Linked DNA regions of Mus musculus: all the other regions are reported to be linked to region 1. The links are microRNA targets in miRTarBase. Many come from high-throughput screens and were not tested one by one. Region 1 holds a microRNA gene; each other region holds the end of a gene's coding sequence.

Region 1 (4,185 bases):
CGCAAAGGAAAGGTCCTCGTCTGCCTTGGGAAATCTTAAAGCTTTTTTCTTTTCTTTTCTTTTCTTTTCTTTTCTTTTCTTTTCTTTTCTTTTCTTTTCTTTTCTTTTCTTTTCTCTTCTTCTTTTTTTTTTTTTTTTGTTTTGTTTTGTTTTGTTTTGTTTTGGTTGGGGTCAGGGAGAGGCTGGGAACCAAGGTACTAGGCAGTTTGGGAAAGCAGGCACCTGGGGAGCCATAGCTGACAAGCAGTCTGATGTCATATCACAAAGGAAGGAGCTGGATAAGAGTGTCAGGCTGCCTGCACTGTCACTGCAGAGCAGGGAACACGATCCCCTCCGAGTCTTGAACTCCTGTGGAGGGGGCCTACAAGCTTGAGGACCAAGGAAGGGGGATGGACTGTGGGAGACAGTAACCAGGACCAACTCCCAGAGAGAGGGCGCCTGGGCAGACCATCCTGAACAAGAGAAGAAATCTAAAGGAGACCATGTGCTAGGTACAAGCCAGGGTGCGCAGCCACTATCTCTGTTGGAAGAGCATTTTGCTGCTGAGGAGGCCCAGAAGAGGAGAAAAAGCATGCAGGGTGGAGTTGCCAGGGTGAGGGTGCTACTTGCTCCAATGGGGAGCAAGCCCAATCAGAAAGAGCTCTTTGCCACCCTGGGGAGCCTTACTAAATACCAAAAATCTATAGCCTGTCTTTCAAAGGCTCCTACTGGGTGTGATCAGGTACTTTCTGGGGTCCTTGAGACTCTAGGTCAAGCCTCTACAGTAAGCTCACAGGAGTCTGACAGAGCCAGAGTGTTAAGTTGGAGGAAACATGAAGAAGTGCAGGCTACATTGGACACGCAGACTTTGTGTGCCCCGGTACAGGGGAACGCCAGGGCCAAAGGGGGGGAGTGGGTGGGTAGGGGAGTGGGGGTGGGTGGGTAAGGGGGACTTTTGGTATAGCATTGGAAATGTAAATGAGCTAAATACCTAATAAAAAAAAAATGAAAAAAAAAAAAAAAATAAAAAAAAAAAAAAAAAAAAAGAAGTGCAGGCTAATCCCTACTGGGCCCCCTGTGCTCGTGAAGCAGGGACAGAGCTTGGGTATCACTGCCTTGTAGACTCAGGAGGACATTCTGTGCTATTTCCAACAGGGTGGCACTGAGGACAAGACAGGCCAAGGGATGGTCTCACATACAGACTAGAGAGTCAACCAACACAAAGGCTTCAGTTCTTGGCATCAATGCCTCAAAGTAGAAATGGTCTAGGGTAGGACATGGTGCAGAGAAGTAGGCTGTGGGATAGTCATCAGATAGAAAACAAACGTCTCAGAGACAAGCTAGCTCAGGTACCACCAGCACGGACTCTACTTAGGATGCTTCTTCCTCTAAGATGCCCTTCTGGACTTCCCAACCCCCACCTCAGGAGATGTGAGGCTCTGGGTCAGGATGAGTCAGCTACATGCCTGACCATCAGTGGTGTCCAGTGGGTCAGCAAAGTGTGTCCCTCCCCTGACACCCATGCTCACACAGTAAGAGCCAATGATAAAGAGAGGTGACCATGCACTGTACCAGCATTAAGAATGGAAACCCGTCACGGGCAATCTCACCTCAGATACTAGGAACTGCACGTGTAACCAACTGGCCTGGCTCTTCCCTAAGTATCATGCTAGCCCCTCCAAGCCCTCATGGTATTGAGAAGCACCCAGGGTACAGGGCATTTGAGCATGCAGCCCTCGGTGGAAGCCTTAGACAGGGACAAACACCCATTGTTGTGGCGGGAAAGAGGCATGGAAAGTGGACAGCCATCCATTGCACATCTGGCCAATGCTTCGTGGCCCAGCCTACAAGGTTGGTGCGATCCCAGGAGGCTCCTCAGAGCTGAGGTTCAGTGAAGAGGGGGTGACAAGCGTCATACAGAGTCCATGCATTTACCTACCGGGCAGTGGTGTGACACCTGGTATGTACTGCCGAGTGACCGGAGTGGCAGGTGGTATTGAAAACAGGCCATCTGTGTTATATTCGTCATTAATAAAGCGAACTCATCACAGACAACCTCTCCTCAAGTACCCAGTGTTGACCGCAGCAACCCTGGAGCTGGAATCACCACCTGAAGCTGTCCTGGGGGGAAGGGGGGGATTGCATATAAATGGTGAGTAGGGTTGACACAGGCAGCACACAGCCTGTTCCACCCAGCCCAGTTCCCCGCGGAGGCAGCAACCTAGAAGCACCATGCTGTCCCCACCCCCACAGGGGCTGCAACTCCAAGAGCTTCTCCAAGCTGAGCGTTGATACTGAGAAAAGATCAACCATGTATTATTCGAAGTCAGCCAAGCGAATATAACACGGTCGATCTCCCTTCAAGTACCAGCAGAGGTGTTGAGCTGAGGCTGTGACATCCTGGGCGCAGGCTGCAGCGGGCACCGACGGCTAGTGGACCAGGTGAAGTACATTAGAAACAATTACTTTCCAGCTGGTCGACCATCCGTCCCATACCCCAGAGCGAGATGAGTCCATGGTCTTCCCTGAGGTGGCCTCCCTGGAGGGATTTGATACCGAAAAGGGGTTCACCGAGCAACATTCGTCCTCCAGATGCAAAGTTGCTCGGGTAACCTCTCTCCGAGTACCACGGAGAGGCTCGGATGCTCAGAACGAGGCCGATGGCTGAGTTTCCAGAAGAACCATCCTGGAGCCCCTCAGAGATTATAACTCCCCATTCAGTGAGGAGCCACCCTCCACCACGTGAAAGCAATTATTCCATCACCTCCCCAGTGCAATCTACCACCCTTTCACCTTCCAAGAATATCTAAAGCCTTCCCAGACAACCTTGAGACCCAGGTAGCGAGGAGCTGACTCGGGGCAGAAGTGGGTGCAGAACTCTGCTTACTCTATCTCTCCTTTGTAAGCTGGAGATAGGGAGATGCTGAGACCCTGCGCATATACCACACCACCCTCCCAGAGACGATGCCTTCCAGAAGCGAGGAGGCAATGACTGCATCATCCAGAGATGCTCCTCCTTGGGCCCACCCAACCACTGCAGCCCCACGACCCTGGCATCCCCGCCCTGTCACCTGCCCCCTCCCCCCACGGTGATGTCATAGCAAGAACTGCTTGACCATCCAGTCCTATAAACCAAGCAAGTAATGCTTCAAAGATAAACATGGAGGGAGGAGAGAAAGAACAGCGGAAGGAGATCCCGCAGGGTCCCCTTGTGCCAGTGTGTATGGCTGCCCCGCACGAGCACGCCAGGGAGGGCTCTCCAGTAAGGGTCAGGATCCATTGACTTAGGCCATAAGCAGAGTATGGATTCTGTGTTCGCCACTCATTTTAAAACTCTTGGAGTGTGACCAACATCAGAATCCCTTCTCTGATTTTGGCAAGAGTTCACACAGGCTTCTAGCCTTGCTGCAGGGCAGCAAGAGACTGGTCACATGCAGTGTGTCATACGGGGAAAAGACGCCACGGGCAGCTTCATGTAGGTGTTCTGGAAACTGACCTGTGGGACAGAGGCTCTTTCCCCAGCTGGCATCACCTCCTGGAAATGCTCCTAAGAGGCACACAATGGCGATGATGGTGGCTAACGGTAGCTACAAGATCCAGTCAACAGTATGGGGAGGGAAGCTTGTCCAGGTTCTTCCTCCAAGCACTTGTCCTGGAGAGAGCTCCAGCCACTGACCAGTTCCAAGACAATGATGTAGCCTCTGGAGTCCTTTGAGGTAAAGATCCTTTTGGAAAGAGAGCCACCATGAAACCTGGTGCTCATCACACCCCAGATAGTATATTAGACCCTGGATACATCCACTCTAAAATGACCTCCCGTACGGGCCTAGCCCTTCAGCACCAACAATGGGTACGTCTTTAAGCCTAGCCCTGGGAGCTGGCAACATGGAAACCCAAGGAAGGGCAGGCCCTAGAATGTTCCAGGTACCAACTGCTCGGCAAGAGCAGACTCCCCAGAACCAGTGTCTTACCCGGAATGTTTCATGAGGATCGAGGAAAGTGAAGAAGACTGCTCAGTGGGCACGTGCTCTGGCACTGGTACCCAGTCACATCCTCCAGGTGACACCCGCCAGCTTCTGAATACTCCATGAAGCTCTCTGTAAAGGTTTGGGATGGGAAAATAAAGTTTAGCCACATTAAAAAAAAAAACCCACATGGTGACCAGTCCTTCTTATCACCCCACTAGCTCTAGTCTATATCCATAGA
Region 2 (4,185 bases), not on the chromosome of region 1:
GAAAAAGTTTCTACGGTTTGCTCCAGTCTCCTCTCACCAAAAGGTCACGTTCTTTATTCATTCTTGTATGGATGCCGTTCAAGTCCAAGTGAGAAGAGATGGGAGGCTGCTTCTGTCACAGAATGTGGAAGGCATTCGGCAGTTTCAGTTAAGAGGAAAACCCAAAGGAAAATACCTCATTCGACTGAAAGGCAACAGGAAAGGAGCATCAAAGCTGAAAATACTGGCGACCACCAGGCCCAGTAAGCATGCATTCCCCTCTCTTCCCGAAGACACAAGAATCAAAGCTTTTGACAAGCTACGTACCTGCTCTTCAGTTACGGTGGCATGGCTTGGCACCCAAGAAAGGAGAAAGTTTTGTATCTACAGAAAGGAAGTGGATGGAAACTACAGTGAAGACCAGAAGAGAAGAGAGCAAAACCAGTGCCTAGGACCAGACACCAGAAAGAAATCAGAGAAGGTCCTTTGCAAATACTTCCACAGCCAAAACCTGCAGAAAGCAGTGACTACAGAGACAATCAGAGATCTGCAGCCTGGGAAGTCTTACCTGCTGGATGTTTACGTCGTAGGACATGGGGGACACTCTGTGAAGTATCAAAGTAAAATTGTGAAAACAAGGAAGGTCTGTTAGTCACCTTGAGTGAAGATCAGGAGAACTCCAGGAGAGACATGGAGTCACACTGCTTGTAACTGACTACTCTCGTGACAAACAAAAGTTGTACTTGAAAGAAAGGGTAACAACATGTGTACATTGATGCTTGCCTAATGTAGCATGGAGACTTGTACTCACGCACACCTGTGGTACTTAGGGTCCATCTGTCTAATGCTGGTTAATGTCAAAAGAAGAGGGTATCTCAATGGATGCCACCCCTTGCTTTGACCATTGCATGAACTGCTTCTAAATTATTTTATTACCTAAAATTTTAAAATATGCCATTCGTTGCACACATTCACAAATGCAAATAATTCCTCTCTATAGATGTTAGGGGAAGTTTATATATAAATATATAAATATAAATTATTTTATAAAGTCTGTTTTAATTGTTGGTGTTTCTATTATTGTAAGCTATTAAATTCTTTCTCTGTTAAAGTATAGATCTAATCTAAGATCGTATCACCCTCTAAGCAGTAATATTGTTGTAAATTCTTATTTGTTCAGTAAAATGTTTAAATGCTGTCTGTATGTATCTCATGTAAAAAGTTGATATACATTATATTCATGTATATAAAATTAAGAATATTAGATTATTACACTGTTCATTTTCCCAAGCAGTACTGTGGTATATTCAATTGCTTATCTGTCCTTAAAACCGTGCTTTTTCTGTAAGTTGGCACCAAAATTTAGTCTTATTTAGTAGCTAGGAGGTAAATGTTGGCTCTCTCGATCTTTACTGGCATCAAGAGCTGGTTATTCAAGTCTGGATTTGGGAACTCAATGGGAGACGAAGAACTGTAATAGGCTTGTTTGAGCATAGAACAAGGCAAACACTATCAATCTGATAAGCGATCATTTTAAACATTTATTTTCCATTTGCTTAAATTTTGGCAAATCTTTTAACGGCTTGCTGAAGCAGGTGAGAACCTTGATTAGGACTTTCATCAGTCACAACACAATGCTACATCTGCTGCTTACAAGATTTATAAAACACTGCTGCAGGTAATTTTATTTTGAGTTTTCAACTGTTTTTAAAGTTAATTTTAGTGTAAGATACAAGTCTAGCAAATAACATCTGCAGGCTCTACCAAGGGAGCATGGGGACACTTTTATCCTCTACAGATTTTACTTGGAAATTCCAAGGCAACATGAGACCATAAAAGCAAGATTCAGAAATACTTGTAATTGTTGGTCACCTAAAACCATATGACTTTAGGAGAATGTTACTGCCCACCATCCCCTTTCCCATTTATAAAGTTGAGGAAGTGGTAGAAGTGGATACAATGACACTGTGAAATACCTTCTGACATGAGAAGTTGCCGTTTGCAAAATCCTGACCCTAAACCCTTACATTCTATGGCTAGAGTGAGAACAGGCGCAATGGTTCCTCTTATTGCTATCCACTGCATGCCGGCACAGCTTTGCTGGTGAGAGTTCACAGCAGCATTTCTATGGGGTATAGGAATACTGTGGCAGAGATGGCGTTGTATATAGTTCCCTATGACGTGTGTTCTGCTTACCTTAAGGGAAAGTACAAGCGTTATGGCATACCCTCTAAATCCTTGGCAGTAACTTTCAGCAAAATTGATCCATCTGTGCAATGCAGGAACAACATCTGAAATAACTTTTTGGAAGCTGACAACCATGTACCCAATGCTTTATTTAAGCAGCTTCAATAAAAGGAGAGACTGACAAATTGACACTCAGAGAAATTATATTCAGCTATAGATGTGAGAAAAGCAGCTTCCTAATGCTGCTGAGCAACTTGTAAGTGGGACTGCAGCGAATCAGATTACTGCTGCTTTGAAGGTCTGGGATCTTGGATACTGCCTAACTCTCAGCATCTGGGAACCAGGTTGAACTGATTTTAAAACACTTTGAATTTTCTGCTAGGCGTGGTAGTAGTTTCTTCATATTGTGGACAAATACAGAAATTCTCTAATGACCCTAGGATAAAAATTGCCTTTTCAAGCTAAGGAAAATTAAACACACATCATGAAAGGCTTACTGCTTATAACAAAGGGAAAAGCCTTGAAAATCATGCCTCACTGATGTGCTAAGATTTCAGGAGTATCCAGTGGACTAGGGACAAGGAAGGGACTCATTCATTCACATTTTAGAAATAACTACACGCTTGCTAATATAAAAGCAAAACCTGGCCTACGCTAATCTCTGAGAGAACAATAGACACTGAGAGGGATGGTACCCAATGCCATGTGTAGACGGATATTGAGAAGAGAAGGCTTGGAGATATTTAGCTCATTATCTTTCCTTTTCAAGTACAATGACAGAGAAAGAACAGAATATATTTAAAACAAGAGAAACAAAAAATAAGAAAGTTTTGCCCACACAAATGTATACCAGGAGACAGAGGCAAATGGAGTTCTGTGAATTTGAGTTTCAGCCTGATCTATTTAATGAGACCCAGGCCCACTAAGGACTACAAGGTGAGACTCAGTGCAGAAAAATTAAGCAAAGCAAAACAAACAAACAAATGGTTCTATAGTTGAATGAGTTAAGCAAGTTATGTCATAGACTCCAAAATGCTTTCCGAATACAAGTCATCAAATTTTGTTTGAAAAAATATTCACTCATAGGTGAGTTTTTAAAAGTAGTCTTTTAGTGTAATTATTCTTGTTTCTTAAGAAATGTGATGTCTATAGTTGATCACTTCAAAGTTATAAGAAAATAATTTTGAAGATGAATTATTTCTAGTATATGTTTGCATACACAAAGCTAAGACTAGAATTTTATTAGTCTATTTATTAATGTATATGCAAACATACATTAGAAATACTTTGTCTCCAAAACACAACAGAATTTTAAAACTAACTTGTAATCAGTATGTAAATTTTTATGTCTATGAATATTTTTTCTGCATGTATATCTCTGTAACAAGTGTGTGCCTGGTGTCTATGGAGGCCAGAATTGGGTGTGAATTCCCTAGGACTGTGGGTACAGATGATTGTAAGTCACCATGCGGGTGCTAGGAAATTTACTTCAGTTCTCTGGAAGAGCAGCCAGTGTTCTTAATCGCTGAACCATCTCTCCAGCCCCTAATTCAGTTTTTAAACATGCATTCAAAGATTAGAGCTAAAAGGCAATGCTTTATTTTGTTGCCCCAAATCCATCTGAAGTAACTAATATTTCTATGTTCTGAAATGATGATTGTTCAGGTTAAACTGACAAATTTTAGTTTAAGGTGATGAATTCAAGCTACACTTATTTCTTCCTTAAAAAATATTTAAATTTTTTTGTATATGTATAGATGTTCTACATGCACACATGTCGGCAGAAGTCTGAAGAGGGCATTAGATCCCTTGGAACTGCAGTTACAGATGGTTGTGAACTGACATGGGGATTTGGGGAATTGAACCTGGGTCTTCTGGAAGAGCAGCAAGTGCTCTTATCCACTGGGCCATGTCACCAAGCTGATAATGTTTATTGATTACTTTGTGAGGTTGGATGTAGGTAATCTCAGTGAAATCATACACAAACACATTTTGACGAACAGTGTGGTGATCAGGGGG
Region 3 (4,185 bases), not on the chromosome of region 1:
TTCTTATAAAACATATATACTTACATATTTTATTTTAATTAAATATATTTATGTGTGAGCAAGTACGTAGCACACAGAAGTCAGAGGACAACCGATGGCTGTCTGCTCTCTCCTTCCACCATGTGGGCCTGGAGAAGTGAGTCAGGCTTGGTGGCAAGGGCCTTTTACCCCTGAGTCTGTACAGGGGTCTGACTGTTTTTGAAACAGGGTCTTCTGTAGCTGAGGCTACTACATTCTGCAGCTCAGGAAGGCCTGGCCTCCTGCCTCCCAGATGCTGATGCCAAAGTGTCAACACCTCACACCTGGCTTCCAAAAGACCATTTCTTTCTTTTTTGTTTTTGTTTTTTGTTTTTTTTTTTGGAAACAGGGTTTCTTTGTGTAGGCCTGGCTGTCCTAGAACTCACCCTGAAGACCAGGCTGTCCTAGAACTCATAGATCTGCCTGCCTCTGCCTCCTAAGTGCTAGCACGCTGGGCCTTGCTTTCTTCTTATGACAATCTATTATTGAACCTGCGATTTACCATTTGACCCAACTGGCTACTTATCAAGTCCTGATATCCACCTGGCTTGGCCCCCTCCCCCACCCCCAAGTGCTGAGGTTATAGACACACACCTTCAAGCCTGGCTTTTATGTAGGTGCCAGCTATTTGAAACTAGGGTTCATGTTCCCACAAGCAAGAACCGTACCCTGAAACTGGACAGAGGGCTGTGAATCAACCCAGATTTGTAGGTCTTTAATAATTAAAACGTTTTTAAAAAGCTGGTCCCCGGGGCTGGAGAGATGGCTCAGTGGTTAAGAGCACTGACTGCTCTTCCGAGCCAAAGGTCCTGAGTTCAAACCCCAGCAACATGGTGGCTCACAACCATCCTAATGAGATCTGACTCCCTCTTCTGGTGTGTCTGAAGACAGCTACAGTGTACTTAGATATAATAATAAATAAATCTTTAAAAAACAGCTGGTCCCCTTCCCTAAAATCACAGACGACCCCACAAGTACTTACCGTGAACTTTTGGCTTTAAGAGATTTATTTATACACTTGAATTACCCCAGAGAATAAGGGCGGGGATCTAGAGCTGGGGTTTGCTACAGAGCATGTTTTCTTTTTTTAAACTTTTTTTTTTAAAGGAAACAAAACATACTATTTGTGGGGGGGAAAAGTAGAAAAAAGGAAATAAAATAAACCCCTGGCAGCCTTAGAGAGGCTATTTTTTTTTTCTTTTTCTTTGTGTGTGTGGGTGTCGCGGAGGGAGGGGTGGGGGCGGGGGGCTTCCTGCAAAAGGAGAGGTGCCAGTGTGCGGAGCCCGCCTCTTTCCCGCCTTTTGGCTTTGGCCTTTTGGGGGAGGGCAGCTGTCTGGCAGTCTGAACTTCCTGTGTTTGGGAAACCCGGCTGAGGTCTTACATGAACATTCGCCCATTGTTCTTGAGGAGAGTGAGGTCACAGTAACTTTACAAGCAGCTGTTGCAAACCGAGACACCAAGTGTTCTGCCCCAGCCATGATCAAGGAGGTTTTCAGCAAAGCTTTCCTTGAGCGCCAAGAAACCGGGCTCCCTGGAGTATCAATAAACCCACATGCTCCCGCCCTCAAATTCTTTCAGTTGGAACCGAGCCCTGGGTCCGGGGAGGGGGGCCATTGTCATGTGGGCTATGGCTGACTGGGATCAGGCAGGAGTTGGGGGAGGGGGAGATTGTCATGTGGGCTATGGCTGACCATGGTGGGCAGGGCTGCCTCCCGGGACCACTATGGTTCCTGCAGCCTATCCTGCCCTGGGACATTTCTCCAGTCAACTCATTCTGACCCAGGGACCGAGGTGGCACCTGGTATTTTCAAATTCCTAGCATACTGAGCAGACCCTGTCGAGAACATGGATTTTGGTCTTAGCTTTGAAGTGAAGATGAAAGCCCACCATGCCAAACTCCTTTCCAGGAAGGAATGGGATCTAGGAGGCCAACGCAGTTCTAACAGGAAATGATGTAATGCATCAGGCTTAGGGCAATAACAGGTCAAGAAACCAGTCAGGAGTTGGTCAGAAACCAAGATGCAGACTTCCGTTAGTACACCTAGGAAGGGGCAGGGACAAAACTGCATTGTCAGACCCTGTTCTGGTCTTGTTAATTTCTTCAGTGATGGCGTCAGCTAAGGGAAGATGGCAGATGTGGGCGGAGCGTAGAGCGTGAAGGAGAACAGGGGCGGGGCCACCTGGCCTCAGGCTGCTGATGGGGCGGGGCCACCTGGCCTCTCAGTCTAATATACAGATGAGGAAAACCAAGGTTTGTAGTGATAGGTTTTTTTAGGAACGCCAGCTCTGGTGATAAATATCCTTGGCTTCTAGTGCTCCCGAGTCATATAGAGATGGTTTATAAAGCACGAGGAAGTGAGTTGAGAGACAGCATAGTGTGCCGGTGTGAGGGTAGTCCTCTCAGGCTCTTCCCCTCTCGGCCTGGGTAGTCACTGACTGTCCCGTGTCTATATATAAAGCCAGTGGGACTGCTCCGAACTGGCCAGTCCCCAACCTGGAGCATAGAGAGGTTTGAGCGCATGATCACAGGCCTCTTCCCCATCTTTCTCACCAAGGCTGCATGGCCTTGTGTGCCCTCTGGTCAGTGACATCCTCTGGGCTTCAGATCTACACAGGTCACTGTAAGTCACCTTCTAGCCAGCTCCTCCAGGGGAAGGGCACAGAGCCTCATTAGAGCACCCGAGGGTCCCTGGACCTACCCACCAGTCCACCCGAAGGATTATAGAGAAGCCAGCAAGCACAAAGGGGGGGCTGCCACACAACAGTCACGGTGGGGAGAGGCCTCCACGTTTTATTAGGGATGCTGCAGAAGCAGGGCTGCTTTTCAACAACAGATAAATTAACCGCAGTGCGGGTAGGGGTGGGGACTGGGCCAGGCGCTTATATATATATATATATATAAAAACAAAGATGAAGACAGACAAACAGACCCCACGATGTGGGGAAGGGAGGCAGCACCATTCAGACAGCAGGGAGGACCAGGGCAGAGTGAAGGCGACTTGTCCCCCTCACCCCCAAACTCCATAAGCCTGGGGCTTCCAAAATCAGCCCCATGGGGGCTTTGGGGCAGGGTTGCAGCCAGGTTGGGCAGAGGTGGCACAGCTGGCGGGCAGGAAGCCTAGCACCGCAAGATGGCTCGGCCTGAAGTGGGAGCTGGGACAAAGCAGCCTGGAGCCCCCGGTCCCGTAGAGCAGAGCCTTACTCTGGGGGAGTCAAGGGACTGGGGATGAGGTCTCTCCCTGAGCTGAGCATGGTTGTCGCATCCACAGCAGCAGTGGCATACGCCAGGGACCCCCCATCGCCTTCTTATCCTCTTTCTCCTTGGTCCCTTCAGGTCAAGCTTCACCGGCCCAAAGGCGTGGGGCGTGGAGCGCGGAAGCAGGTCGTTGAGGGTCCCTAGCTCCAGAGGAACTGTAGTGGGTGCGGTCCCTCAACCCTGACTCCCACAGGAGGATAGCGAGTCATAGAGGGAGTCACTTAGGGATTCTGAGGTCTCCAGCCCGGGGGCGCCCCCGCTGGCCACTCGGCCTTCCTCGCCCATGTCCGACGTGCTGGGGGTACGACTGCCTCCAAATGCTGGGCCCTGAGGTGTAGATGTGCGGCTGGGATCCACGCTCTGTTTTCGGTCTACGGGCAGGGCCTAGAGGAGAGGTACTGCTCAGAGAGGAATCGTAGCCACCCTGACTGCTGTGGGGGTCCACAGAGGCAGGAATAATGGAAGCCTTCTTCCAAAATGGGATGGGTGGGCGAACTTATCCTCACCTCCAGAGGAGGTGCTGGCTGGCTGTACACAGCTCAGAGACATCCATCTCCCAGTCTCTCCCTCCAGGCACCCAGGCCTCTCTCTCCTCCCTTCTGTGGCCTTACCATGGGGGTTCTAGGCAGTCCCTCCAGTTGTCGGGGTGGGCACAGGAAGGGGTCGCTGGAGCTGCCAGCTGTTCTGGTGTTGGGGAAGGTCCAGTTCTTGGCCAGCTGGACAGGTGGGGGAGGGCCTGGGTCTTCACAGGGATCTGTCCAAGAAGAAGGGGGAAGTGGATGCATTGGTCCGGCTCCAAGGAGCCTCTTAGGGATGCCCTACCACTTGAGGGGACACTCACCATCGGGACAGGTCTGATGGCTTCGGTGGCCTGGGGGAGCTGTGAGCAGTCCAGGGAAGGCTGGCATGCT

What was found. The annotated mature microRNA mmu-miR-410-3p reads AAUAUAACACAGAUGGCCUGU and lies in region 1 at 1,982-2,002, opposite strand. An mRNA with a match to its seed (bases 2 to 7 or 8) in the 3' UTR can be bound and repressed. Matches are read on the target gene's strand: a 7mer-m8 pairs with bases 2 to 8, a 7mer-A1 pairs with bases 2 to 7 and ends in A, and an 8mer does both.
Region 2: the mRNA of Ndnf is a reported target of mmu-miR-410-3p. Seed matches in the 3' UTR shown: 7mer-A1 at 994-1,000.
Region 3: miRTarBase lists Nckap5l as a target of mmu-miR-410-3p. Seed matches in the 3' UTR shown: 7mer-A1 at 2,914-2,920.

What each region holds. Positions count from the first base shown.
Region 1 is chr12:109,741,581-109,745,765 of GRCm38, reverse strand. Mir410 (microRNA 410) reads right to left here and starts at 2,051; the gene lies at 1,971-2,051. It overlaps Mirg (miRNA containing gene), which reads right to left. Exons shown (of 8, transcript NR_028265.1): 3 at 3,951-4,076; 4 at 3,476-3,704; 5 at 2,348-2,409; 6 at 1,919-2,100. It overlaps Mir541 (microRNA 541), which reads right to left and starts at 3,357; the gene lies at 3,268-3,357. Mir409 (microRNA 409) reads right to left here and starts at 2,608; the gene lies at 2,530-2,608. It also overlaps Mir412 and Mir369.
Region 2 is chr6:65,703,815-65,707,999 of GRCm38, forward strand. It overlaps Ndnf (neuron-derived neurotrophic factor), which reads left to right. Exons shown (of 4, transcript NM_172399.3): 4 at 1-3,116. The coding sequence ends at 631. Among named protein-coding and RNA genes, the nearest start is that of Ndnf, 34 kb to the left of the region's middle.
Region 3 is chr15:99,419,251-99,423,435 of GRCm38, forward strand. Nckap5l (NCK-associated protein 5-like) reads right to left here. Exons shown (of 13, transcript NM_001001884.1): 11 at 4,116-4,185; 12 at 3,886-4,028; 13 at 2,784-3,658. The coding sequence ends at 3,449. Among named protein-coding and RNA genes, the nearest start is that of Nckap5los, 11 kb to the right of the region's middle. RefSeq lists an enhancer at 704-2,307.